Coturnix japonica: one gene and its partners. The protein of the gene in region 1 purifies or fractionates together with the protein of each later gene. This does not show direct contact. Links are inferred from orthologs where the notes say so. Each region holds a gene or a part of one and is shown in the gene's direction. Other genes may lie near its edges. The genes, in order: DCP1A, PNRC1, EDC4, BAG4, DDX6 and UPF1.

What was found.
Region 2: the proteins of DCP1A (region 1) and PNRC1 purify together in Homo sapiens (affinity purification with mass spectrometry; 3 studies listed by BioGRID and IntAct, with this or other methods). This does not show direct contact. The link is inferred for Coturnix japonica from reciprocal best matches to the Homo sapiens genes DCP1A and PNRC1.
Region 3: the proteins of DCP1A (region 1) and EDC4 purify together in Homo sapiens (co-immunoprecipitation; 9 studies listed by BioGRID and IntAct, with this or other methods). This does not show direct contact. The link is inferred for Coturnix japonica from reciprocal best matches to the Homo sapiens genes DCP1A and EDC4.
Region 4: the proteins of DCP1A (region 1) and BAG4 purify together in Homo sapiens (affinity purification with mass spectrometry; 4 studies listed by BioGRID and IntAct, counting the BioPlex papers as one, with this or other methods). This does not show direct contact. The link is inferred for Coturnix japonica from reciprocal best matches to the Homo sapiens genes DCP1A and BAG4.
Region 5: the proteins of DCP1A (region 1) and DDX6 purify together in Homo sapiens (affinity purification with mass spectrometry; 8 studies listed by BioGRID and IntAct, counting the BioPlex papers as one, with this or other methods). This does not show direct contact. The link is inferred for Coturnix japonica from reciprocal best matches to the Homo sapiens genes DCP1A and DDX6.
Region 6: the proteins of DCP1A (region 1) and UPF1 purify together in Homo sapiens (co-immunoprecipitation; 4 studies listed by BioGRID and IntAct, with this or other methods). This does not show direct contact. The link is inferred for Coturnix japonica from reciprocal best matches to the Homo sapiens genes DCP1A and UPF1.

Annotation. Positions count from the first base shown.
Region 1 is NC_029527.1:4,957,762-4,961,261, reverse strand, and holds part of DCP1A (mRNA-decapping enzyme 1A), read left to right. Parts: intron 1-498; coding exon 499-717; intron 718-2,199; coding exon 2,200-2,280; 3' UTR 2,281-3,500. UniProt on the Homo sapiens protein: Necessary for the degradation of mRNAs, both in normal mRNA turnover and in nonsense-mediated mRNA decay. Removes the 7-methyl guanine cap structure from mRNA molecules, yielding a 5'-phosphorylated mRNA fragment and 7m-GDP.
Region 2 is NC_029518.1:69,064,252-69,068,289, reverse strand, and holds PNRC1 (proline-rich nuclear receptor coactivator 1), read left to right. Parts: upstream 1-1,238; 5' UTR 1,239-1,240; coding exon of another isoform or gene 1,241-1,277; 5' UTR 1,278-1,385; coding exon 1,386-1,778; intron 1,779-2,364; coding exon 2,365-2,805; 3' UTR 2,806-3,544; downstream 3,545-4,038. UniProt on the Homo sapiens protein: Nuclear receptor coactivator. May play a role in signal transduction.
Region 3 is NC_029526.1:1,600,966-1,604,465, reverse strand, and holds part of EDC4 (enhancer of mRNA-decapping protein 4), read left to right. Parts: intron 1-189; coding exon 190-653; intron 654-1,729; coding exon 1,730-1,831; intron 1,832-2,787; coding exon 2,788-2,940; intron 2,941-3,500. UniProt on the Homo sapiens protein: In the process of mRNA degradation, seems to play a role in mRNA decapping. Component of a complex containing DCP2 and DCP1A which functions in decapping of ARE-containing mRNAs. Promotes complex formation between DCP1A and DCP2.
Region 4 is NC_029537.1:3,645,528-3,649,642, forward strand, and holds the start of BAG4 (BAG family molecular chaperone regulator 4), read left to right. Parts: upstream 1-1,315; coding exon 1,316-1,537; intron 1,538-1,614; coding exon 1,615-1,695; intron 1,696-1,906; coding exon 1,907-2,140; intron 2,141-2,457; coding exon 2,458-2,682; intron 2,683-2,994; coding exon 2,995-3,501; 3' UTR 3,502-4,115. Other genes in the region: U6 snRNA-associated Sm-like protein LSm1, read right to left, coding at 152-322, 393-508, 1,064-1,132, 1,272-1,317. UniProt on the Homo sapiens protein: Inhibits the chaperone activity of HSP70/HSC70 by promoting substrate release. Prevents constitutive TNFRSF1A signaling. Negative regulator of PRKN translocation to damaged mitochondria.
Region 5 is NC_029539.1:4,829,464-4,832,963, reverse strand, and holds part of DDX6 (probable ATP-dependent RNA helicase DDX6), read left to right. Parts: intron 1-972; coding exon 973-1,074; intron 1,075-1,712; coding exon 1,713-1,888; 3' UTR 1,889-1,892; intron 1,893-2,962; 3' UTR 2,963-3,500.
Region 6 is NC_029543.1:2,812,594-2,816,767, reverse strand, and holds the start of UPF1 (regulator of nonsense transcripts 1), read left to right. Parts: upstream 1-1,374; 5' UTR 1,375-1,639; coding exon 1,640-1,864; intron 1,865-2,478; exon of another isoform or gene 2,479-2,688; intron 2,689-4,174. UniProt on the Homo sapiens protein: RNA-dependent helicase required for nonsense-mediated decay (NMD) of aberrant mRNAs containing premature stop codons and modulates the expression level of normal mRNAs.

The DNA of each region.
Region 1 (3,500 bases):
ACCTCACAGCCTCAGAGTGGATTTCTGTAATAAAATGTCAAACAGAACTGTAGAAGGATGAGATGGGGAAGGTGACTGTCAAAATATTTTCCTGTTTTCTCACTCTCTCATCCAGTTGCCTTAGAATGAAAAAGATTGTGTGCTTGAATATTCTAATTATAGTTAATCAGTCATTTTAAAGTATCTTGAGAAGGTCTGTCTCACCTTCTGTGATATGCTAGAAAAACAAAGTGAAAAGTAGCAACTACATGGCAGTGGGTCTACATGTAAGAATACTGAAGGTTAACAGCTTCCTTAGCTTCTAAGATGAGAATTACTGTTGTCTTGTGTTAATTGGTAAATCACTTCATTGTGAGTAGCATTCCCCAATACCTTTCTGATTTACTGTAACAGTAGCTACAATTTTGAGTTTGTTTATGCTTATTCCTATAGTTTTTTTTCTAACAGCATTCATTCTTTCTGGACACAGTCCTTAGTAACTTTCTTTTCTTCCTGCAGGTTGCACCTCCGCAGTTTGTTACAGCCACAACTACAGTAACTCCTTCAATCCTCCTGTCTCCTAGTGTTTTTCAGCAGTCAACTACAAAACCTACTGAAGCAGAAAATAAAGCCAATTCTTCATCGCCTTTAACGCTTGGAACAACAGAACTTCAGACAGTACCTCCTACTGTTCTCAGTAGGTCTCAGCTTCAGGAAGCACTGATACATCTAATAAAGGTCCTGTCTGAAGAAAACTGTGAGGGGTGGGGTTACAAGTACAGTAGCCAGTATTGAGCCTTTGATTGCAAGATGGGTGACTTGCAAGGACAGAGCTCTGCTTGGTGCATTCTTTCACACACCTGTCAATTTGTGAACACTTGATGAAAAAGATACATGTACAGAAGCAGTAGTATGAGGAGGGGAGGGCTGGGTTTCTCTTGAGTGTTTTTGCTTTTCTTTGGAAAGCTTTCCTGTTGCCACTTACCTTGAACTGTTCCTGATCTTTAATTTATGTATGTTTGGAAGAAGTTACAAAAAGTTCTAATTGTACCATTCCTAGTGACTAAAAAGTTCAGTTGAATTAAATCTGTAATGCTGGGAGTAGCTAGACAGTGAGATCAGCAGTGTAGTAGAAGAGATCAGCAACAAGTAGAAGTGGCCATGGATGGCAGCCATTCTCTTAGTTCAGGATTCTGTAACTTTCTCCATGCTGATGTTGCTTGGTCTTGCACTCAAAATGCAGGTCTGAAGTAGCAAATAATATTTTCCCAATGAAAAAGTTACGATCAAAAGAGCCAACACCAGACCCCAATATCATTTTAAATTGCTTGATTTATGTGTTGTTTTTTGCATATTAGTGTGTATTTTTTCTTTTAAAGATATGAAACTAGCTTACTTGTAAGTCTTGCAACTGAGTTCAGTTGTCAGAAGTCTTTGCTGTTCTCATTAGCGATTCTCACATTAATGGTCTGAAGAATGTTGCTGTGGTGACTTCAGAGAGCTGACTGGAATAGTGTCTCTTGTCTTCTCCTTACATATAGAGATAGTTAGTTATATATAGGCAGCAGTCACTGTACCCCCACAGCACAGAAGTACTTGCAGAGTGCTCCAAGGAGAAAACATATATTCACTATATAGATTTTTGTGAAAAGAGTACTACATCTTCAGCCTAGATAATTACCTACTATCTGAAAGTGTAGGACTCAGGAAATATCTCCAAATGCTTTCTTACAGACAAAACAAGTTCACTTCCCAGTAATTCTTTAATGTGGGAATTTTTATATAACACAGTGCAATCCTTTTCAGGCTGATTTTGCAGGCAGAACTAACTCACGTGATTTTTGACACTTCTACGTCCTTTATGTGGATGTCTATATGCAGGATGGAATTTACTAAGTCTTGATGTTTTCGTACTCTTCTCAAAGAAAGTTCACTTCATGGGAGAAAGTGAAATTGTGTAGCTAGGGCTGACCTTGGAGCTGCTGGTTTTTTTTCATCTGAGTATCCATTGTGCTTAGTAATCACTTTAGTTTCATGGTTCAAAGTCTCTGCTGTCCATACAGTGCTGCCTTTTGTACAGGTAGGCAGCCAGTTCCTTTACCCTAACCCTCAGATAGACAGCAGTATATTAAAAATCTTAATAACAACTTAAACTGAGTTAAATTTTATTTATATATATATATCTTTTTACTAATGCTTCTGTTGTTTGTTTTCCTGCAGAACGATTCCCGTTTTCTCAGCACTATCCATGAAGTCTACTTGCAAGTCCTAACCAAGAATACAGACAACATTAAGCTATAATTGAAGCTAAATCTGCTTAGAATGTTACCACTTCAGAAATAATTATGCCTCATCTATAAAACTAATATTTTTTTAAAAGAATATTTAGTTTTCAATGTCTTGAATTTGAACCTGTTAGGAAAGACTATTCCTTAAGTACTTTAAGAAGGTAATGTTCTCAGAAGTGATTTAGGTTTTCACTGTGATCATCACCAGCAGACCTTTCTTTTTACTGGGGGAGGGGATTTAATTTACATATGAGCTTTCATTTGCATTTTTGATCATGCAGATGTTTGCTCTGGCTTTCGTTCCTAGCTGTATTCACCATTCAAGGATTACAGACTATGTACTACTTAAACTAGCAATGTAGTATAGTACACTACACCACACCAGAACATGACTTGGTTTTGGTTCTAAGGTGGGAGCTGAATGCCTTGTTATTAAGATGGCAGATGTGGGGAAGAGGGGGATTTGGAAGCCAGGCCTTTGTAGCTAAGCCTTTAAACAAAGGGTTTTAAAATGTGATTTGCTGAGTACTTTAGTACATTACTCTAGCTAATGCTCATCAGTTCATCTTTTAAATATTCCATTAATCTTACTGCTTCATGTTTGATAAAACAGATATCCAAGTGAGTAAGGATGTTTTCTTTAAGAATGTGGAATCAGAAATACACAAAATCTTCAATGATTACATTATTTTTGAGCAACAGGACAGGACAGTTCTGTTATAAGTTGAGGTTCTTTCAGGTTAAGTGTAGGTAAGAGACCACCACTGGAAGACTGCTTGCCTGTTCTGTAGTGTTTGATTTGACTGAAATACTTGGTTTCCCTTTTAACTTAAGGATGGACCATATGTTATTTGGATTTCATTCCTCAGTTGTGTTGTAACTGCAGTGTTGAAAACTATGCAGGTGGGGAACAATTGCATGCTCTTCTCTTGGCTTCTCCAAATTATTTGTCCATTCTTCATGCTTTAAAATTTATCTAGTTAACATGTTATTGCTTTTTATATATTATTTCATAGTTCAGTAATGTAAGTAAGAATTTGATCTCATTCTTTCCTATCTGAAATCAGAAAGATTTCTAACTATATTTTCTTATGCTGCTGGGTTGGTTTACCCACAGCTTTTTATTTCATGAAGTTATACAAAGGTAGGTAACAGAACTTCAGGTCTGAACTTTTTCCAGCAATACTGGTTTTAAAGGATGCTTTTGCAGTTTAAGAAAGAAAAAGTTTTGGT
Region 2 (4,038 bases), on another chromosome or scaffold:
TTCCAAGCCCTCAATAAATAGAAAGCGTAAGGCGTCAGGAGTCCAAATTCTTTAATGGAGTTAAAGCGACGTGCAGCGCTTCAGCTGAGCGCTCTCCCTCCGAAGACAGATTAGGGTCGGCTCGGCCTTCAGCTCTGCGGCCATGCGGAGCGCAGCGCTACTTGCACAGCCCCTCGAGGCGCTCCAACGTGCCCTTCATGTCTCGGATGCGCTTGGCCAGCGCGGGCACGGGCTGCATGGCGCGGTCCAGCTCCTCGCAACGCGCCACCAGCGCGTACATGGCGCGGATGCTGAGGTCGGCCGCCTCTCCCAGGCTCTCCACGCCGTCGCGGTACGTCTGGATGCAGCCGACGCTGAGCGCCGTGAGCGCCTGCAGCCCGCAGTGCACGTTGCGCAGCAGCTCGTCCACCTGCGCCGCCACCTGCCCGGCCAGCGCCACCACGTCCTGCAGCGCCCCGGGGTCGATGGCGGGGATGGAGCCGGCTCCTCCCGCCGCCGCCGAGTGCTGCTCTGCCCGCGGGACGCCGCTCAGCCGGATCCTCCGCTCCAGGTTGTTGGCCACGAACTGCGTGAGCCGCCCCTCGCGCAGCACCGTGCCCTCCAGCTCCAGGGCGCTCGCCAGCGTCGCCCTCCGCCCCTCCGGCAGCTGCCGCCCGTCGGGCAGGGATCGCCCTGACACCGCTCCTCCGGCGGCGGCCAGGCTCAGCGCCTCCAAGCTGCGCTGGTCCCGGCTCGCTCCGTCGTCGCCCGGCGGTCCCGCAGCGGCACTAGGCCGCGCCGCCATGACGGGCCCGGCCGGGTACGCGCCTCCACCCCCGTCGGGGGGCGCTTGGCCGCCTGTTTACGTCGCTTCCGATTGGCTGAGCGGCTCGAGGGGGCGGGGCCGACGCCGTTAGCGCCGCTCCCGATTGGCTGTTGTCGCTCAGCAGGGGCAGCGCTCGCCCCGTCCGTTCGCTTGGCGTTTCCAGCCCGTGACTCGGAGCCTGGGCCGTGCCCGCTGTTTGTGTCCGCTCCCATTGGGCGGCCTGCGGAAGCGGGCGGAGCCGCGAGTGTTTGTGTCGCTTCCGATTGGTCGGGGCGGGACCGGAGCCGCGGCCGGTCGGCTGCGATTGGCGGAGCCCGGCGGAGAGGCGCGCCGCTCTCCCCTTTCTCGCGCGGCGATTGGCTGGAGGGCGGAAAAGGGCGTGTCCATCCCGTGTAACAACACAGGGCGCCGCCGGCCGCTCGGCTCACTCCCCGCCATGTTCTCCTAGCGGCCGATCCCACCGCGACACCATCTCAGCCCACAAAGCCCGGGCCGACAGCCCACAGCGACCCGAGCCGCTCGTCCCCTACCCGGGCTCGACCCCTCTCCCGTTCACAGCTCTGGGTACCCACGTCCCACCATGGTTACCAGCACGGCGCCGCCGCCCTTCCTGACCCGGATCTCGGCGGGCACCGAAGACCCCCGTCGGCTGCCCTCGACGCTCCTGCAGCACCTCAGGCGGGGGGACGACAACTGTGAGAACCAGCCCGGCTGCTGCACAACGGGGCCGGGGGGCGGCGCGCGGCCCGCGCTCAAGAGGGTGAGGAGGAGGAAGGGCAAGATCCGGCCGTGCCCCGCGGGGCTCCTGCCCAGCCGCTACCAGCAGTTCCAGCAGCACCGCGCCGGGCTGGCCAGGAGGACGGCGCTGGGCGCTCCCGTCGCCTCGGATATCTCCACCGCTCCCGGCTTCGTGCCGACCCCCGCCGAGGAGTCCCTCGCACCCACCCCCTCCAGACCCGCCCTCAGGAAGGAGGTAAGAAGGGGCTCGGAGACTTTGGGACTTTAATCAAAGCGCTTCGTTCCCTGCTCGGTTGGGGTGCGGGGCAGGGGGCGGCACACCCCCCTCCCCTGCGCTGTGTGAGGGGCGGGGGAACTGAGTTTCCGTTACGTTCGTTGTGTGCGGGGAGAAGGGGGGGGGGGGACGAGTGGAATCGCGGCCGGCGATTGGCTGCTTTCCTCCACCAATAGGAGGCCGCCGTTGCGCCCAGCAACAGCCGGATTTAGCCTGCTGGCAGCGCGCCAGCTGCCCCTGCGCGCGGAGGCGGGACGTGCGGGGCGCGCAGCGCCACATGGCGGGCGGGGCGGGAGGTGAAGCCCCCTGTGGAGCAAGTGGTAGAAGTGCCGCTCTGCTACACAGGGCTCGAACCCCGGGGGTTGGACTCGATGATCTCTGAGGTCCCTTCCAACCCGCACCAGACTGTGAGGGGTCCGAGGGGGCGCTTAGTGACGGACCCGTTGTAAAGACGCGGGGAAGCCTGGCCCTTCCAGGCTCGTTGCCACGGGCGCCTCTGGAATCCAGAGAGGGATCGTGTGCTGACGCGAATTCTTTGTCTCTTCAGTTCTTGAAGAACAAGATGGGAAAGACTGAGAAGGCTGCCACTCCCCACGGCCAGCCCGTTCACGGTTTACATCTGTGTGAACAGCCAAAGATGAACAGGCAGAAGGGTAAATGTAACACGCCAATGACAAAGATTGCCTCGGCGAAAAAGATTGAGAACTTTTGGCAAGATTCGGTCCCGCCGGAAAACGTTCAGAAGCAGGAGAAAAAGCCACTTAAAAACACAGAGAACTTCAGAAATGCCAAGTCCAAGAAACCCGTCACCCTCACAGATGCGAACCAAAAAGAAAACTATGCCGGGGCAAAATTCAGTGACCCGCCATCCCCTAGTGTCCTTCCAAAGCCCCCCAGCCACTGGGTGGGGGGCACAGCTGAGCTGTCTGACCAAAACAGGGAGTTGATGGCTGTCCATCTGAAAACTCTCCTCAAAGTTCAGGTGTAGTTTCCGAGCTCTTCTGAATATGAAGCAAAACTCCATCCGAGGAAACTTACACATGCCTTGTTGCAAACAAACAAACAAAAAAAAAACTAAAAAAAAAAATTAAAAAAAAAAAAACAACCCACAAACGAAAGACTGTCAAGTCTTATACTCGCATACAGAATTCCTTGTATTATATTTTTTATGGTTGTGTAAATAGTGTACATCATGTATTATGTGTATATTCTTGTTGATACTTTGAGAGGTACATTTTAGTTTTGTTATGAAAGGATGTATTTTGCACTGCCTGAGTGGTAGATGTCTTGTATATATATATACACAACATGGACAGTTTTACGTGTGTGCTTGACACATGAAGACTTGACTTGATTTGCACAAGGTAAATGAATATTCTGAACGGAGAGTACAGCTTGCTGACGTTAAGGTTCCAGATCAAATGTGAATGGTTTATTCATGCACTGCTGACAATAGTTCTATGTTCTGTGTCCCAATCAAGTACAAACATGGAATTTTCTTACAAATGTGAATTTTCTGCTCTGGAAAAAAAAAGAAAAAACAGTATCTGGAATTCCTGTTTATCTGTTTGTAACAAAATTAACTGGAATTTGAGTAGAATTCCAAGCCATCACGTTGAGCACTGCTGATTTCTTTTAAGAGAACAAAAAAGAAAAGAGCAGAGCTTCCTGCCATCAATTTAATTGGTCACTAAAAAAATTAAATAAAACAATTTGGCCTCCCCTAAGGTCACGTCTCTGTTTTTCTTGTGTGTGTGTCTTCAAGTGTTTGAACTGAAGTTGCTGCTTTTTTGTATGTGTAACTGATATTTCTTTTGTCCTTGTCATTCTTTAGTTATCCAAGTAGCGAAGAGATCCAATAGCTCACAGAACCTGCCCCAGTGGCACAGTGGTAGAAGGGCCGCTTTGCAAACACTGGAGGCCTGGGTTTGAATCCCCCCTGTGGCACAAGTGGTAGAAGTGCCGCTCTGCTACACAGGGCTCAAATCCCAGGGGTTGGACTCGATGATCTCTAAGGTCCCTTCCAACCCACATGAGGCTGTGATACTGTGATCTCTGGGCATTAGCTTATGAGGAAGGTTAGGTTATGTAAGTGGAAAACAACCAGTAGGGTCCTAAGTGTTTCCTTTCTTAGCACGCTCAGTAGAGAACCAGCGTTCAGCTGTATTTGTGTTAAGTATTGCTGGTTCTGGTGTGTGCGCTCACATTGTAGACCTTGTAT
Region 3 (3,500 bases), on another chromosome or scaffold:
GGTGGTAGGAAAAGCCTCATTAAACGTACTGGGGCTCTTCTCCATCTGCTTAGCAGTGGAAGCACAGGGATCACATGCAGAAAGGATACAGCTGGCATTTTCCAGAGGCGGATGCCAGTGTAAGACATGGGTGTTTCTTGGGGTATCTCTGCATTACCCTGAAGTCTCCTGTTTAATTTCTCAATTCAGGTCACACCGGGAAACTCCTCTCTAGCGCTGGAGCTGCAAGAAGTGGAGCCTTTGGTGGTGCCTCAGGCATCTCCCACCCGTGAGCGTTCGCCGGACGTCATTTCCTCTGCTTCCACAGCCATGTCCCAGGATATCCCCGAGATCGCTTCTGAGACCTTGCAGCGTAGCTTTGCAGCAGCTCCATCTGCGCTCTCTGCAGAGGTGCTGGAGCCCAGTCATCACGCAGACAGTATGGCATCTGCAGCCTCAGCCTTGCATTTGCTGTCTCCAAGGAACCGGCACAATTCAGAGCACAGCCACCACTCTTTGGACATGCCTCCAGTGGAGGTGGACAGACTGAATGCTCCGTCGTTACTGGAGACCGCTCTAACTCAGGAAAATGCGTCTTTGGACAGTGTTGTGAGTCAGCCATGGCCAGCAGCTCCTGACATAACCAGAGAAACCAGGAACAGCATGGCAGACAGGTAATCACTCAGATGTGTCTTGCTTAGGATGGTTTCTTTGTGCTTTTCAAGCTGCTGGCTTGATGAAAAAGTCTCTTGTTAAAGAAGAGTTTTCCATCCCTTCTTTTCTTTAAAGAATCTGGTGATTCAACCTTTCCATGTGCCTGGTCTTTATAGGCTACATCCTGCATTTTCTAGGCCAGTTCTATCAGTTTGTGCTCTTTGACACTTTTAAGCACAAAGGATATCTGCTAAGAAGGTGAGATCTGTTTTCCTGGCCTTCATGTTTACCTTGAATAGAGACTTCAGCCGGATTTTTTACTTTTTTAGTACATTGTTTCTGGAAAGAAAGCTGGCTCAAGCTAAAATTCATCTCAAGTGATCTCCCTGTATGCTCTTATTGAAAACAGTCAGCACATAATCGACAGATTGATCATAGGTTACTTTATCTCTCTTCTGTGATTGGCTTTCTGCAGCTAGTATTATAAATAAGGTACTTTAGAAGTGAGGAAATGCAGGACATCAGCTCAGCTGAGCAGGCAGAATGGGGCAGGGTCACATAGGCCTGCTCACAGGAAGCAAACCATTACACTAGCAGCAGTGTTAGGATTCACTGCAGAATCAGTGTCCTCATCCTCTAATGGGGCTGGGACAGCGAGGTGACTCCAGAGTATCTCTAGGCTGCTGCTGCCTGCACCATAAGGGCCTTAGCACTAAGAGACTGTTGCTCAACCACACCATCAGCCTATGTTCAAGTGATAAGCATTCACTTCTGTTTGGAGATCCTGCTTGCTGAAGTCAAATAGACCTACTTTGTGGCTTAGGTGTATATGCAGTTTGCTTACAAAACTTTGGACTGAGTTCAGTGTTGCAAGAACTGAAAGACCTGGAGAAATTAGTGCCCACACACAGCACTTCTTGCTGCGCTCTGGATCTGTGCAGAGAGATCTTTTGCTTTTGTTGATTTTTGTGTTGGTTCTTCTATTACTTAATTTTCTATCTTCTGTCAGGGTCTCCCATGGGAAGCGGAGTAAGCAAATAACCAAGCTGAAAGACACTTTTCATGATGGTGTATATATGTTTTTTTCTTCCTCTAGCCCAAGAGATGAGGTTGAAGAAAAGCACAAGAGCTCTTCCTATCATCGACACAGCTACCACCTCCTGCAGCATGACAGCCAGGATGCTAGTGCAGAACAAAGGTACAGGAGTGCTCAGCCCCCTCTCTCGCCCTGCATGGACTCTTTTCAGGCTGCATTCGTGCTTCTGTCCCCAGCAAGCCTTCACACGTGGGGTGAATGTCTTTGCTTTGTCTCCTGATTCAGTGTGTGTGCCTTCCAACTTCCATAATGTTTTGGTGCCTTCAGCTGATCATGACTGACCTCTGGACACTGTCCAGCTGACATTCTGGAGGGCAGGATTTGGCCTGTACTGCTCCTAAGAGCAGGGACTGAGCTTGATTTAGTTCCCAGTGCAACTCCATTAAGGGACCTGTTCCCAAATCCCTTGCTTTAGATAAGGTAGAGGAGATATCTTAGGAGTTAGCTTCTCACTTTTGCCATCTTTACTCCCTCACGAGCCACCCTGGAGCTCTGTGGGCATGTTCTGTGTGCCTGGTGAGCTCAGAGCCATTTGACAGCTGTGAGTTCATTCACAGTCCACTCTTCAGTTTGGAGTCTGTGTTGGATGGCTTGTCAGCAGCTGAAAGAATCTGAGCATCTCCCAGTTCCTAGGCTCAACCCAATTCTCCTGCAACACTTACTGCGTTAAGTGCTCTCTCTCTGTTAAGCTCTAAGGGCGTGCTATGCTTGGGTTCCCTGCTGGGTCAGCGGTTGCATCCTAGGGCTTCTATGCTAGTGTGTGCATGCAGCAGGAAGAGGCACCAGCAGCCACTCTGCCTGAACAGCAGCTCTGAGTAATGCAGAGACCCTTCAAATCCTGTCACGCAGCACTTGAGCTCTGCCTGAGCAGGCCTGGATGAAAATGAAGTGGCCTCTGCAGAGGTCTGTGCATTAGAGATTGAATGTGACAGGTGTCCTTAACTGAGTGACCCTGGATGTGTGTGGATGCAGAGCAATGTGAACTCCCCTCCTTTTAGTGCAGGCTGACAGCGTGCTGTACTGCAAGTGATGTCCTCTCCCCTGCTGTTCCTTCATAGTGACCATGATGATGAAGTTGCAAGTTTGGCTTCTACATCAGGTGGATTTGGTGCCAAAGCATCCACGCAGAGGCTGCCTGTGAAGGACTGGAAAGCCAAGGCATCCCCTCGGGCTTCCCCAAAGCTAAAGCGGAAGGGCAAGAAAGATGACGGGTATGCTGGGCTTGCCAGGGAACTGATGGCTGTGGGACCAGCTGTGCAGGGCCTGACAGAGCTGTTAGCAGCAAGGCTGGGCTGTGGCCAGGAGCTCCCAGCCTCGGTCCAGTTTTGCAAATAGGAGCAACCCCACAGAAAGCATTGCTGGGTTCGCTTAGGGATGTGGGAGGAGGTTCTGCTTTACTCAGAGCCCAAAGTGCAGCAGAGAAATTTATGGTAGGTAAATCACAGAACTGTACATTGGTGGGGGAACACTGGATGCGTTTGCCAGCTTCATTGGAACTGTGACACTGTAGCTTAATATGGCCTCAGTTTCTGGTTGGCTTTTGAGTGCTGGCACAGTGCCCCCTGTTCAACAACATCGATCCTTTGTTACCTGCTTGCTGCTTCTGTGTGTTTCTAAACATGCCCATATGAATGTCTTGCAAGAGAAAATGGATGACTGGAAGGAGCTGCCCATTAGAAATTAGAGCAACCCGTCTGTATTAACGAGGGGGAAAGTAGCACAGCTTCTGCAAGGGGCTTTTCTCCTCTTGTGCTCTCTTGGCTCCCTGATT
Region 4 (4,115 bases), on another chromosome or scaffold:
AGAGACCTTCATCTCTGAACAGAAATTGCTGCACCCCCCGGAGCATCCAGTTACCTCCGAGGGTTCCCCATTGCCATCACTCCTTTTTTCCCCTCAAGGGGGAACAGAAGCCATGATTTCAGTGCCTGCACCACTCAGCATTGCCATCCCATCAGTACTCATCCAACGTGTCAGCCCTGGGCACCGCCAGGCCTCTCTCCTTCAACGCCTGCACCTTCAGCTTCTCCGACTCCTGCTTGGCTTGCAGCTCCAACCTTTGCTCCTCCAGGATCTCCTCGATGGAAACCTGCTGCAGCAACGTGTCGCTCTCCTTCTCCAGGTCCTGCAAAGCAAAGAGCTGTTGTTAAGCAGAGCTGCAGGGTGAGGGGCTGCAGGGCACGGGGCTCACTCACAATCTCCCCCAGCAGCACCACGTTCTCCCCTCTCACAACGAAGATCCCTCGAGGGATGTCCCCATATTTCTTGCCCACGTGAATTCGCTCCACTGTCTGATGCAGCACCAGGTTGGCTGTGGGGATAGAGAAAAAAACACCCCGTTTTTAACCAGTTTTTTACCAAAACCACCCAGTTTTTCACCAAACAGAGCACCTCACCTGAAACAACCCATAGCCTAAAGCATAGGGAGCAGCTGGATTGCATTATAGCACTATAATCCTATATGCTGAGCATCCCCTAAACAACATGATCCCCCAAACCCAGCCACTATAGGACCCCAAAGCAGCCACTACCTATAGCTGATAAAGGGATCCCTGGTGCTATAGGGTAAAGAATGAGGGGCTCAGCTATAGGCACAAGTGAATGGGGAAGGGGGGAAAGGGGGGTAGGGAGAAGAGGGGTAAAGGGAGGTAAAGACTGGGGGGCTCAGCCATAGGCACAAGTCAATGGGGGGATGAACTTAGTGCTGCCCTAAGGGGGGAATATAACATGGGGTGGGGGTCCAACATGACAAGGGATGGGGGAACCACAAACTGGGTTCCTATCGGAGCCATATGGGTTCTATTAAGCCCTGATCCGGTGTCGTTCCCGGTGCTGCCCCCCCTATCCCCCCCCATTATATCCGTACCGAACTGATCGATGCTGCGTAGGAATCCGATCAGCGTCCGGCCGTCCCGCAGCAGAACCAGGTGTTTCTCTATGGGGAAAGGGATCAAGCGGGGGTACGGAACATCGGTCCCAATGGGAACCAAGGGGAAAACCGGGGTCCCCCGCGTCCGGGTCCCGGTTTTCCCCTTGGTTCCTTATTGAATGAATAGAACCTCGGTCACACTCACTGTCAATGTCCTGGATGAGGCTTGCAGTACCCGGCATGTAGTTCATGGTGGCGGAACCGCCCCACGTTGGGCGGTACTTAGCGATGCACTGTCCCTTTAAAAGCGGCGCCGGTAGTGCGAGCGGGGCTGCCTTTCATTGGTTACATCCAGGGGTCCTCGCATCCTATTGGTCGCATGGTGGGGGCCTTTTATCCTTGTGTCGCGCTGTGGGGTGGGCTACAGCGTGCCGGGTTGAAAACATGGAGCACCGCGGTCGTACCGGGCAGGTAAAGGGGGGGGGGGAACCGAGCACAGCCCGTTATCCCGTTATCACTGCTCCATATAATGGGGTTTTTCCTTATAGGAGCCACCAGGCCCCGGCTTCAACCCCGGTTATTGGAGCCCAGCGTTCGGTTTTGGGGCCTACACCGACGGAGCGGACTCGGTATGTTGGGTTTGGGGGATGAGGGTCCATTTCCATCCCCCTCCCGTCCATTAAGGCTTTGACCGAGCTGTGCTTCATTTCTATGCCATAGGATACAATGGGCTTCAAGCCCCACTTGTTTCCTACAGCTCAGTACAGAAATAACCCATTAAATATCCTAACACACATTTCAGCTCATTTTCTTTCTCTTTTTCCCTTTTCTCCTCCCCAGGCTATGGACTCACCCTACACCAACGGATCCTACAGCGCCCCATACCCTCCCCATTACACCTCACTGCCACAAACACGAACCTACAGCACTTCAGGTCCATCCTACAGCACCGACAGCTCAGCCCCATATCGACCCCCCCCTCCTGCCCCTCCCTGGGGCTGTGGCACACAGGACTGCCCAGCAGAGGGATGCTCAATGCGCAGGCAAAAGGCTGCTGGGTATTCCCCACCGCAGGTAAGAAACCATTTAGGGTGTGCACAGCAAAGCGAGAGCTCCTGTGCTGCTCACCCCATAGAGGGTGAACCCACAGTGCACCCTAATTGGGCCCAAATGGCTTCTATGTCCCACCCAGCTCGCCCTGCTTGCTCTTGTAAGAACTTGGAGTTGCCCCTTTCTGCTGGGAGCTCTGAGGTCACGAGCTTTGGAGCAGAAAGCAGCAGCAGTCCCAGTGCTGGGGCTCATCCCAGTGCTGGGGCTCATCCCAGAGCTTCCTTCTGCCACAGGCATTGGGAGCTGACTTAGGACTTACATCTGTCCCCCTCTCCCCACAGACCCCAGGGATGCCCGTTCCTCAGTATCCATATGGAGACCACAGCCCCGGGGCCAACCCACAGCCCAGGGCTCAGGAGGAGGCGTGGGCTCCCCCTCACTATGGGGTGCAGGCACGGTATGCATGGCCTGCAGCTCCAGCACATGGGAATCCATTCCTCTCTGAATCACAACCACCCTGGACTGGCAGCAGGACTGCAGCTCATCCTCCTGTGTGGGACTCGAAGGTACAGTGATGCTTTAATGGCTCTGACACAAAGATTCTGGCTGTAGCCAGAGCTCAGCTCATGCTGCCTTCCCCCGCAATACACACATGCAGCTGCTCAGTGCTCCTTTCTCCAAGCACAGTTTGCTTCCAGGAGACAAAAACAAAGCAGCGGTTCTAAGTACTGCCAGCAAAATCACCTGCTTATATATCCAAACTGCCATTGAAGAAAGCACTGGAGATAGCAGACCCTGAGAGGCGGGTCTTGAAGTGGAGCAGATCTCATTTAATGCCTCTGTAATGTAGACTCTTTTTTTTCCCCTTCTGATTGTAGGAATCTGCTTATGACAAACCTGATCCGAGTGCAAACCAACACTGCTACTATTCTGACAGCAATCACCAGCACCCTGGGACAATGAATGACCACAAACCACCCTCCCTGCTGCATAACTCCAAGTCATCTCCCTCCAACCCCAAGGTACAATACAGTGCACAGCCCCAGATGTACAACAGTGCAACTCGGAGGCAGCTGGCTGGGAACCAGGAGGCAGGTTGCAAAGCTGGCAATCACACTGCAATGAATTCTGCAGCCATCCAGCCAGAGATACAGAGGATCCTACAGGTCACAGAGCAGGCTGAAGAGTTAGAACAAGAGGTGGATGAATTTGTAGGGAAAAAGACAGATAAATCCTACAGGCTTCTGGAGGAGATGCTGACCAAGCTGCTGTTAGAACTGGATTCCATTGAGACTGGTGGGCAGGATGGTGTCCGACAGGCCAGGAAAGAAGCTGTCCATAGAATTCAGGCCATACTGGAAAAACTGGAAAGGAAAGGATTGTGAAAGCAAATCAGCCACAATGCAGCCTGTTGTGGAGGTTCCAAAGAGTTAATCCAAATCTCAGCTCTTTCTGCTAAGCACTACTGATAATGAGAAAGCAATAAGACTTGATTGAAAAGAAGAAACAACCCTAAACCCACAGGAAAGCCCAGCCCCGACCAACAGCTCAGCATTGGACCAATGAAGAGAAGATGAAAGCAGCAAATTGAGTTGTTTGCTCTGGGATGTGAAGAAGCAGCACCACCTGAAGGTGTTTAGCACTGGGTTGTCTGTGTCCTTCATCCAGCAAGAAGAAAATCACTGCACAAAGTTCCCCAAACCGGGTCCAAATCCACCCAAATCCATGGTACCTCGTGGAGCCACAGCTGCAGCACTTGTCACATGCATCACCATAAATGAAGGTCCATCAGTGCGTGTGCTTTCAGCTTCAGATCCCTTACCCACAAAAGCTGGTTTGTGTCATCCCGGGGTTCTCTTTTTGTTTCCAATGCGCTCCCTGTAGCTCTGCTGATGTGAAGCTGTTCTGTGATGCCGTGTGGATGTGGGAACATAGCCTGGAACTCTGAGTTTTTCACCTGGAAAAGCCAGTTGCAGGCAGAGCCGTGCAGCCCTGGACA
Region 5 (3,500 bases), on another chromosome or scaffold:
ACTGCTTAGTGATAAAACTAATCTGTTTTAGTAAGAGAATTTTTGTCATACCTGTGTGTAGCGGGCTGCAGTGCTCCTGTATTGCAGAATGACCCGGGTTGGAAGGGACCTCAAGGATCATGAATCTCCAACTACCCTCCCCCGCCACAATCAGGGCCACTAACTTCCTCATTTAATACCAGCCCAGGCTGCCCAGGGCCACATCCAACCTGGCCTTGAACACCTCCAGGGTCGGGGCAGCCACAGCCCACATACCACTCTCAGAGTAAAGAACTTCTCCCTGACATCCAGCCTAAATCTGTAGGCATACAGGCTTTCTCTTTTTGGCAACCTGTGGTGGTGCAGCTTGCTAACAAATCCTTTCATTGTGATGATAATTTGTACTTCAGTTATGTTTTCTTTATGTTCTAACATTTGAGTGTCCTATAAATTGTTGGATATGAAATAGTAGAAGAACTGTAGGTAGAACTGTGGCTAGCATTATTGAATAATGATTTACTGATTCTTCATCACTTCCCAAATGCTTTGCAGTTCTGATTGGTCTGTATATGGCCTGAGTTGTATCTTGGCTGCATTACTAAAACTCACTTGAAATGAAACAGAGATAGTTCAGTTGATGGGACGTAGCTCACATTTCAAGTCTGTTGTAAAATGACAGTGTGTGCCTTATTTGATAAGATGCTTATATAAAGCTGACCGGCTCAAAAATAGTGCAAAAACTGGCTTCATGAGAATTATTTTTTTTACCTAGAACTGAAGATTTGATGTCTTGATCATTCGGTTTTTATTATGCTTAACATGGATAAAGAGCAGGAAGAGGCTGTAACAGAATTTATGTCAAATGTTTTGATACACAGAAAGGGCTTGTCTTTAGAAACTAGTGCTAACCAACATTCACAAAGGCTAAATTTCCCAGCCCAGCATTAGATTTCATGGAAGTTAATGTTCTTCATGACTTGTGTTGTCTTTCAGATCTGTTTACCCGAGGTATTGATATCCAAGCTGTGAATGTGGTGATAAACTTTGATTTTCCAAAGCTGGCAGAGACTTATCTCCATCGTATTGGCAGATCAGGTGAGAGGAAAAACATGTTTTAGGGACAGCTTTGCTGATAATTGTAATATTCCTTATGCTTTGATTGGGTTCTGCTTTCTATCACTGTACTGATAATTATTTGGAATAGCTTTTTTTCTGATGTTTACTTACAGGGATGATGGCATAGGATTTTCTTCACAAATACCTGAGTTAATGGCCGTGCTCTTTAAATGAGCTTGAAGAGCCTAGGCCAAAAATAAAAAGAAAATGAGGGAAAAAAGCACCTTTTGCTTTAATTTCATGGAACTCGCCAATGCTTATTGTTTGCAGTTTAGGAAGATTCTATATTGAAAACTTAATTTCTGTGTTTTTTAAAGCATAGTGTGTTTTGTTTGTTGTTCTGCTTGTGCTCCAAAGTTTGTTTCTGATGTCTGGACAGCTTCCAGATATATCCCTGATGATGACAGTGAAGAGTGGAACTCTGTTTACCTCAAGTTCCACACTGCAGTAGTGGAAGACTTTTACTTGGTAGTAGAAAGTCCTTATCAGATGTTGATGTGAAGCTTGCAGGGGTCCAGGTTGACTTTTATAATGAGAAAGCGATGTTAATAACACCTGCAGAATCTGCAGGCTTTTCATTTAACCTCCTGTTACTCAGTTTAAATTTCTTTTTTGAGGTCGCTTTGGACATCTTGGCCTGGCCATCAACTTGATCACCTACGATGATCGATTCAACCTGAAAAGTATTGAGGAGCAGCTGGGAACTGAAATAAAGCCCATACCAAGCAACATTGACAAGAGCCTTTACGTGGCAGAATATCACAGTGAACCTGTAGAAGATGAGAAACAGTAACCATGTGCGTATGTGCTGACTTGAGTAGTTGTGTTGGAATGTCATTGTGGGGGAAGAGGGGAAACTGATGTGCTGAAGAGTCTTGGAATGTGAAAACAAAGGTTTGAAATAGGCTGTCAGAGGAGATGAGGAGAATCCTGCTTGGTGACAGGATGGCTGTGAGCAGCCTAATGAGTTCTTTCTGTATTTCTTAGCTGAGCAGTAGGGGCAGAAAGTGATTATCAGGAAGGTGAGGAGTGAAAAATAGGTCTCTTAAGAACATAGCACCAACAGAACAGCCTGTTCATCTCAGCAGCTGAGAGGAGCAGGTTCAAGCCATAGGTGCCTCATATTTGTTTTGCATTCTTTGATTCATAGAACTTCTGCAAGTAAGCTGAGTAGGTAGCAGAGCTGTAATTCATCTTCATTGCCACTTGAGGTCTACATAGCATTAAAAGAAAATGAGGCTTCTCTGGCAAGGACTTTGGAAGTGTGACTTTTTGATTGCTGTCTGAGGGGAAAAAAAAGGCTGAGTCAGTTCACAATCCAAGGAAGCTGTTATTCTCACAGCAAATAGAGGGTAATATTTCATCTGTTACTAGCTGAGATGCTACAGACCATTTGGGTTGAAAGGAGTTTTGTAGTGCATCTTGTCTTAGAGATCATGAATTAAGAATTCTAATGAAGCTGCTGCAATTACTCTCAGTTAACAAAAAAATTGCCAAAGAAACAGTCTGTTAATTAAAATGAGAATTAAAGCAAAACCTGTATCTCTTTGGAATAACTCAAGGCTAGCCCCAGCCAGCTGGTCATGTCCAGGTGACTTGTGGCCTCTGCTTTGCTGGCTGAGCTTTCTCCATGTTTTAAAATAAATAAAGCAAATCAAACTGTGAAGCTGGGCAAGGTCCTTGGGCGGCTTCCTTGGGGGGAGAAGTTGGGTCATAGTGGCACATCAGAGGGACAGTTCTCGAACTGCATCCAATGCCGGCGGCTTCTCAGGAGCTGCCCTGCAGTCAGCATGATTCATTTCTTAGCTCTGTGCAAAACCAGAACCTGACTTAATTGCAGGTGTTATTTGTGTATTTATATATTCAGGCTTTGACTACATATGCCAGAAGGTGAAGCCCTTTGATCCACATCTGTGACACATCATTTCTCTGGGGATACCCTTCTCTTTGTGGGTTTTTCTTCGTCTTTTCATTTTGGAACTATGAAGACTAAAGAGCTCGGCCTTTTTTCTTTTCAAATTTGGCAGCAAGGAAGAAAGAAGATGAAAGGAGGAATGGCTTTTTGTTTTTCCACTCGTTTGCACTGTGTGCTGATTGAACATTAGTTGCACTAACTGCTGGTTTTAAATTGTTTTTTCTTTGGGTGGGAGGGGCAGCAAGGGAAGAAGAGAAACCCTGAAAAGAGAAGAATCTTTGAACACGAGCTTGTCTGCGATTTCAAATTCTCCAACCATCTACTGAGTGCATTTCAACTTCTCCCTGGTTACTCATCTGTTTTTAAGCTAAAGAGCTTCTTACTTATTCGTGCAAAGTGCCTTATGCTATGAGACCATTCAGAACATCACCTTTCCGACACAGCCCGAGGAATCAACAGCCGTTTTTGGTTTCAGGTCAAAGTTCCCCTC
Region 6 (4,174 bases), on another chromosome or scaffold:
CCAGATCATTTCTGGTTTTAAGGAAATATCAATTCAGTTCACCTGTGGATGCTTTATAGTCACACTACAAGTGGGTTTAATGTAGCTGTGATTCAACTTCAGGAATCAAAAGTCTCAATGTACTGTATGAAATTATATATGGGTGTACACTTACTTACCTTGATGCCACCACATTAAATTGTAGCTGATTTGACAGTTGTAAATTTACAACCAAATTTATTTTTTCTTGTTTTTTTTTTTTGCTTAATTAACCTACTTTAATGAATTAAGATACATCTATGATTACCTACTGCTAAGTCTGTTCCTTCATAGCTTCAAGCTCAACGTGAACACAAACCATATGGAAGTAGATGCAGTGAGTCCTGTATTCTCTCCATCTTTGTTTCCCCCTCCTGTACTCAGAGCATTGAAATCTTTCCCAATCCTCATTTCAATCTTTTCAGCTTCAAAGCTTTAAATGTGGCAGATGTTGTTTCCATTCCAAGCTTTACCCTGCAACAAAAGCAAGAACAGAATTAAAGTCACTTAAAAAACCAACGTTCACGTGCATGTTATGGCTGAAGGTTTCAATAGAGAAAACACAACAATATTTTCTCTATTTTCAATATATTTGCAATATTTTCAATATTGTTTTCTCTATTTTTTTATTGTTTTTCTCTATTTTCAATAGAGAAAATAGCTTCTCCTATCAGCACTTCTCACAACACCTGGGTGTTACCTTAAAAGACATGAGTGTGATGCTAATTGAATTGATGCTAATTGAAGTACATTGAGGGCATATAAAGCCCAAATGAGCACTTTATTTACGGCCTGACCATATACTGCTCATACCCACACAACACAGGGAGCCTCACAGGCCGCCCTGCTCCCATTCAGCCCCCAAGTACCACAGCCACGCAGGGCAGCTTAGATACGATGGATATTACAGCTGGAGCAGGTGTTTCTATAACACCAGAGCCTTCTTAATCACCTGCTTCAGAACATTACAGTATACCTCCCCACCACAGACACAACACCTCGCTGCCACAGCAGATCTGAGGTAGATCTTAAGGCTGCCACCGCAGCCCGCCCTTCTCCTCAGCTCGAGGGCTCATTGGCTGAATCAGCAGTCAATCATCAATCAGGCCCCGCCCCCTCTCGGTAGAGCCCATTTTGTAGTGGGGGGGGGTGCAACCCCTCCTTTAGGCTCGAACTGACAGCGCCCGCACCGCGTCCTCCCCTCAATCCCCCCCCACACTTCAGGTGGTTCGCTCCCCTCTTCGCGCCTTCCGCGCGTAGCCCCGCCCCCTCACGCCGTGCCCTCCCAGGTGTGTGCGTGCTGCGTCACCCGCCCACGCGCACGGGGCGTGCTGGCGTCCGCTGCGCGCTCCGCGTCACCGCTCCTGGCCTGGCCTGGCGCGCGGTGCGGCCGGACGGTTCCTCTCTCAGCTCCTCCGGGGACTCTCGGTTCCCTCCTTCGGCTCCTTCCTCCCGTCGACTCGGAGCCGCCCGAACGGGGCGTCGGGGGATTCTTTAAAGGCCGGTTTTCCGGGGTGCGGCCTAGTGCTCGCGGCTGATCCCGCCGCTGTCGTAGCGCGGCGCCCGGGCTCCGTGAGGCGCGGCCCGGCCCGAAGCGCCGCTTCTCTTCTCTACCGCCGCCATGAGCGTGGAAGCGTACGGCCCCAGCTCGCAGACCCTCACCTTCCTGGATACGGAGGAGGCCGAGCTGCTCGGTGCCGACACTCAAGGATCCGAGTTCGAATTCACCGACTTCACCCTCCCCAGCCAAACTCAAACCCCGCCCGGAGCCGGGCAGGCGGGGCCCGGCCAGGCCCAAGGAGCTCCGGGAGCGGGGCAGGGCCCTGCAGGCCCCATCGAGGCCCAGGTGAGGCCGAGCCGCGGGGTGAGGGGGGGGAGCGGGGTGGGGTGAGGCGGTGCCGCCACCGGGGGGAGCGCGGAAGGGGCGGGCGGGTGTGGGGCCGAGCGGGGAAACACTGGGCGGGAGGCGGAAGGAGGCGGCGGGGCCTACGGTTAAATGTCGTGATAGTGTCGTGATAGTCGCGATATCGCCGTGCATATCCCGATAGTCGCGATATGGAGCGAGGAGCGCTGCCCAGGAGGGAGGATTTGGGTTTGTTTTCTTGTTTGAGTTACGAGGTGTTGAATGTTGTGAAAACGGAGCGTTCCTTCCCAAGAGATCCTTCTTGCCTTTTTGCCACCGGTTGCCAGGCGGCTTTGTTTGTTGGGGTTGTAGGGCAGTGACAGCCCATAGCGCCCCATTGGTGTTGGTTGGTGTGCGGAGCTGGTCGAGGCTGAGAAATAGGAGTATTCTTAACGCTGCCTGATGAGGGCCGCGTTTCTGGTTTAAAAAGTTCCCAGATGCGGAAGGAAAGAGGGAACTGGGGCCGTGCAGCCAGAAACCAAGAAGTGTTGTAAAAGGAAACGCTGCTTGATTGACTAAAGCAAGAAAAAAGAAGCCCAAAAACACCTGAGAGGCTGTTTTGTGCTCTGTTTAGAGCTGGACTGCTTTTGTATATCTTAGGATATATTGTTATATTAAGTGATCTCAGCGTTAACAATTGTTTGTAAATTGCGTTCCAGGATGTGCCTTTAGAGGAGTTGAAGTGCTGTAGATCAAAGCTCTTCATCCTGCTTCAAAAACACTTGGGGGGGGATTCAGTTCTTTAACTTCATTTTTCCAAGGCTGATCTGTAAATGACACAGAAATGAGCAAACTTAGAGCAGTGAATGGCTGGCAGCCTTCAGGTGTGCAGTGCAGGTGGGCCCAGATATGGTGCTGTGTTGGAACTCCCTTTAGGGCAGTGTTCATGGTGTGGAATTAGAGCTGAGCTCCCGTGGGCTGTTTGCTTTGTTGTGTGTTGACTTGTAGCTCTGTTGGGGCAAAACAGCCCTTTTTCCCGTTTGAATTGCAGTTGTTAAGCGGTTTGTTTGTAGTCAGTGTTATGTGTTAATTGATTAAAAAGATATTAGGATTGAAATCCTAGTTTTTAAAGCTCTGATCATTCCAGAACTCTCAGTATAGAGGTGCCTAGACAGAAGAGGAAGAAAAACCACCCCAAAATGAGTCTATGAGTGTAAAAGATGAGGCCAGAGGATTGCTTCTCTTTTTGTCTAAACATGTTTGAAAAGCCTTTGAAGTAAGAAGGGGAAAAAGGAAGATGTGGGGAGCACATCCAGGTATGAGCGTGTCTGTAAGCATCCGTCCTGGCAGGCAGGAAGCAGAGGATGTTGGTAATGGCTGGGAATGGCTGAGTGCTTTTAGTTCAGGGCAGAGTTTTGCAGTTATCCCCATACTCTCTGAATTTGGGATGGGGGAAGCTGTTCCAACAAGGACTCAGGAGCACAGTGAGTGTGATGTTGGAGCTCATTGTAACCCAACAGCCCCTGCTCTGTTTGGACCTTTGCTTTTCAATGTTCTCATCAGCACTGAGATCAGAAATAGACCATTTGAAGGATTCTCAGGGAGGTTTTACTACCTTGAATAGATGATGTGAGCTCGTTAATGCCTTTTGGAAGGAACACGGCTAAATTTAAGCCTCACAGGTTGCATACGTTTTTGCCTAGCTTAAGTTTTTACTGTGATTGTGAGTAAATCTTATCCTGATAAACATTGAAGGGATATTAACTCCCGTTCCATTTTCTGATGCCTTTTTTGTACCCTGTGGACTGAAATAAGATGAGTTGAGCAGTGCAGATCCCTTCATTTCTTCAGAAAATGGGGTTCATTGAACGTTGAAAGCTTTGTTCCTCAGCATATTCTTAACTAATAGCTTAAGAGGATGCTGTTAGCACAGATTAGTGCCTGAGTGACAAAAGGCAGGCAGAGGTTAAGCAGTGCAGGAGCAGCGCCTGCTGTTTTCTATAAGCAATGGAAATACAGTTTTCTGATGATTAAGACAAGCTAATTAGCATATTTGATTTGGATTAAGATAAATTCTGATCGTTTCCACGGCGTTTCCCTGCTCCCTCAGGCCAGGACTCAGCTCTGGTAAGGAGGAGGAAGCACATTCTCCCATGCTCTTGCTGTGAGTCCATTTGGTGGCTGCCCTGAGCATGGGGAACCGTTGTGAAACAGCTCAGTCTGTGCTGCTGTGAGGCTGGATGCTCTCAGTAACGCGCCTTCCCTTGTTTTGAAAGGCAGATCAAACAAGCACAGCATATTATAAGGCGCTGC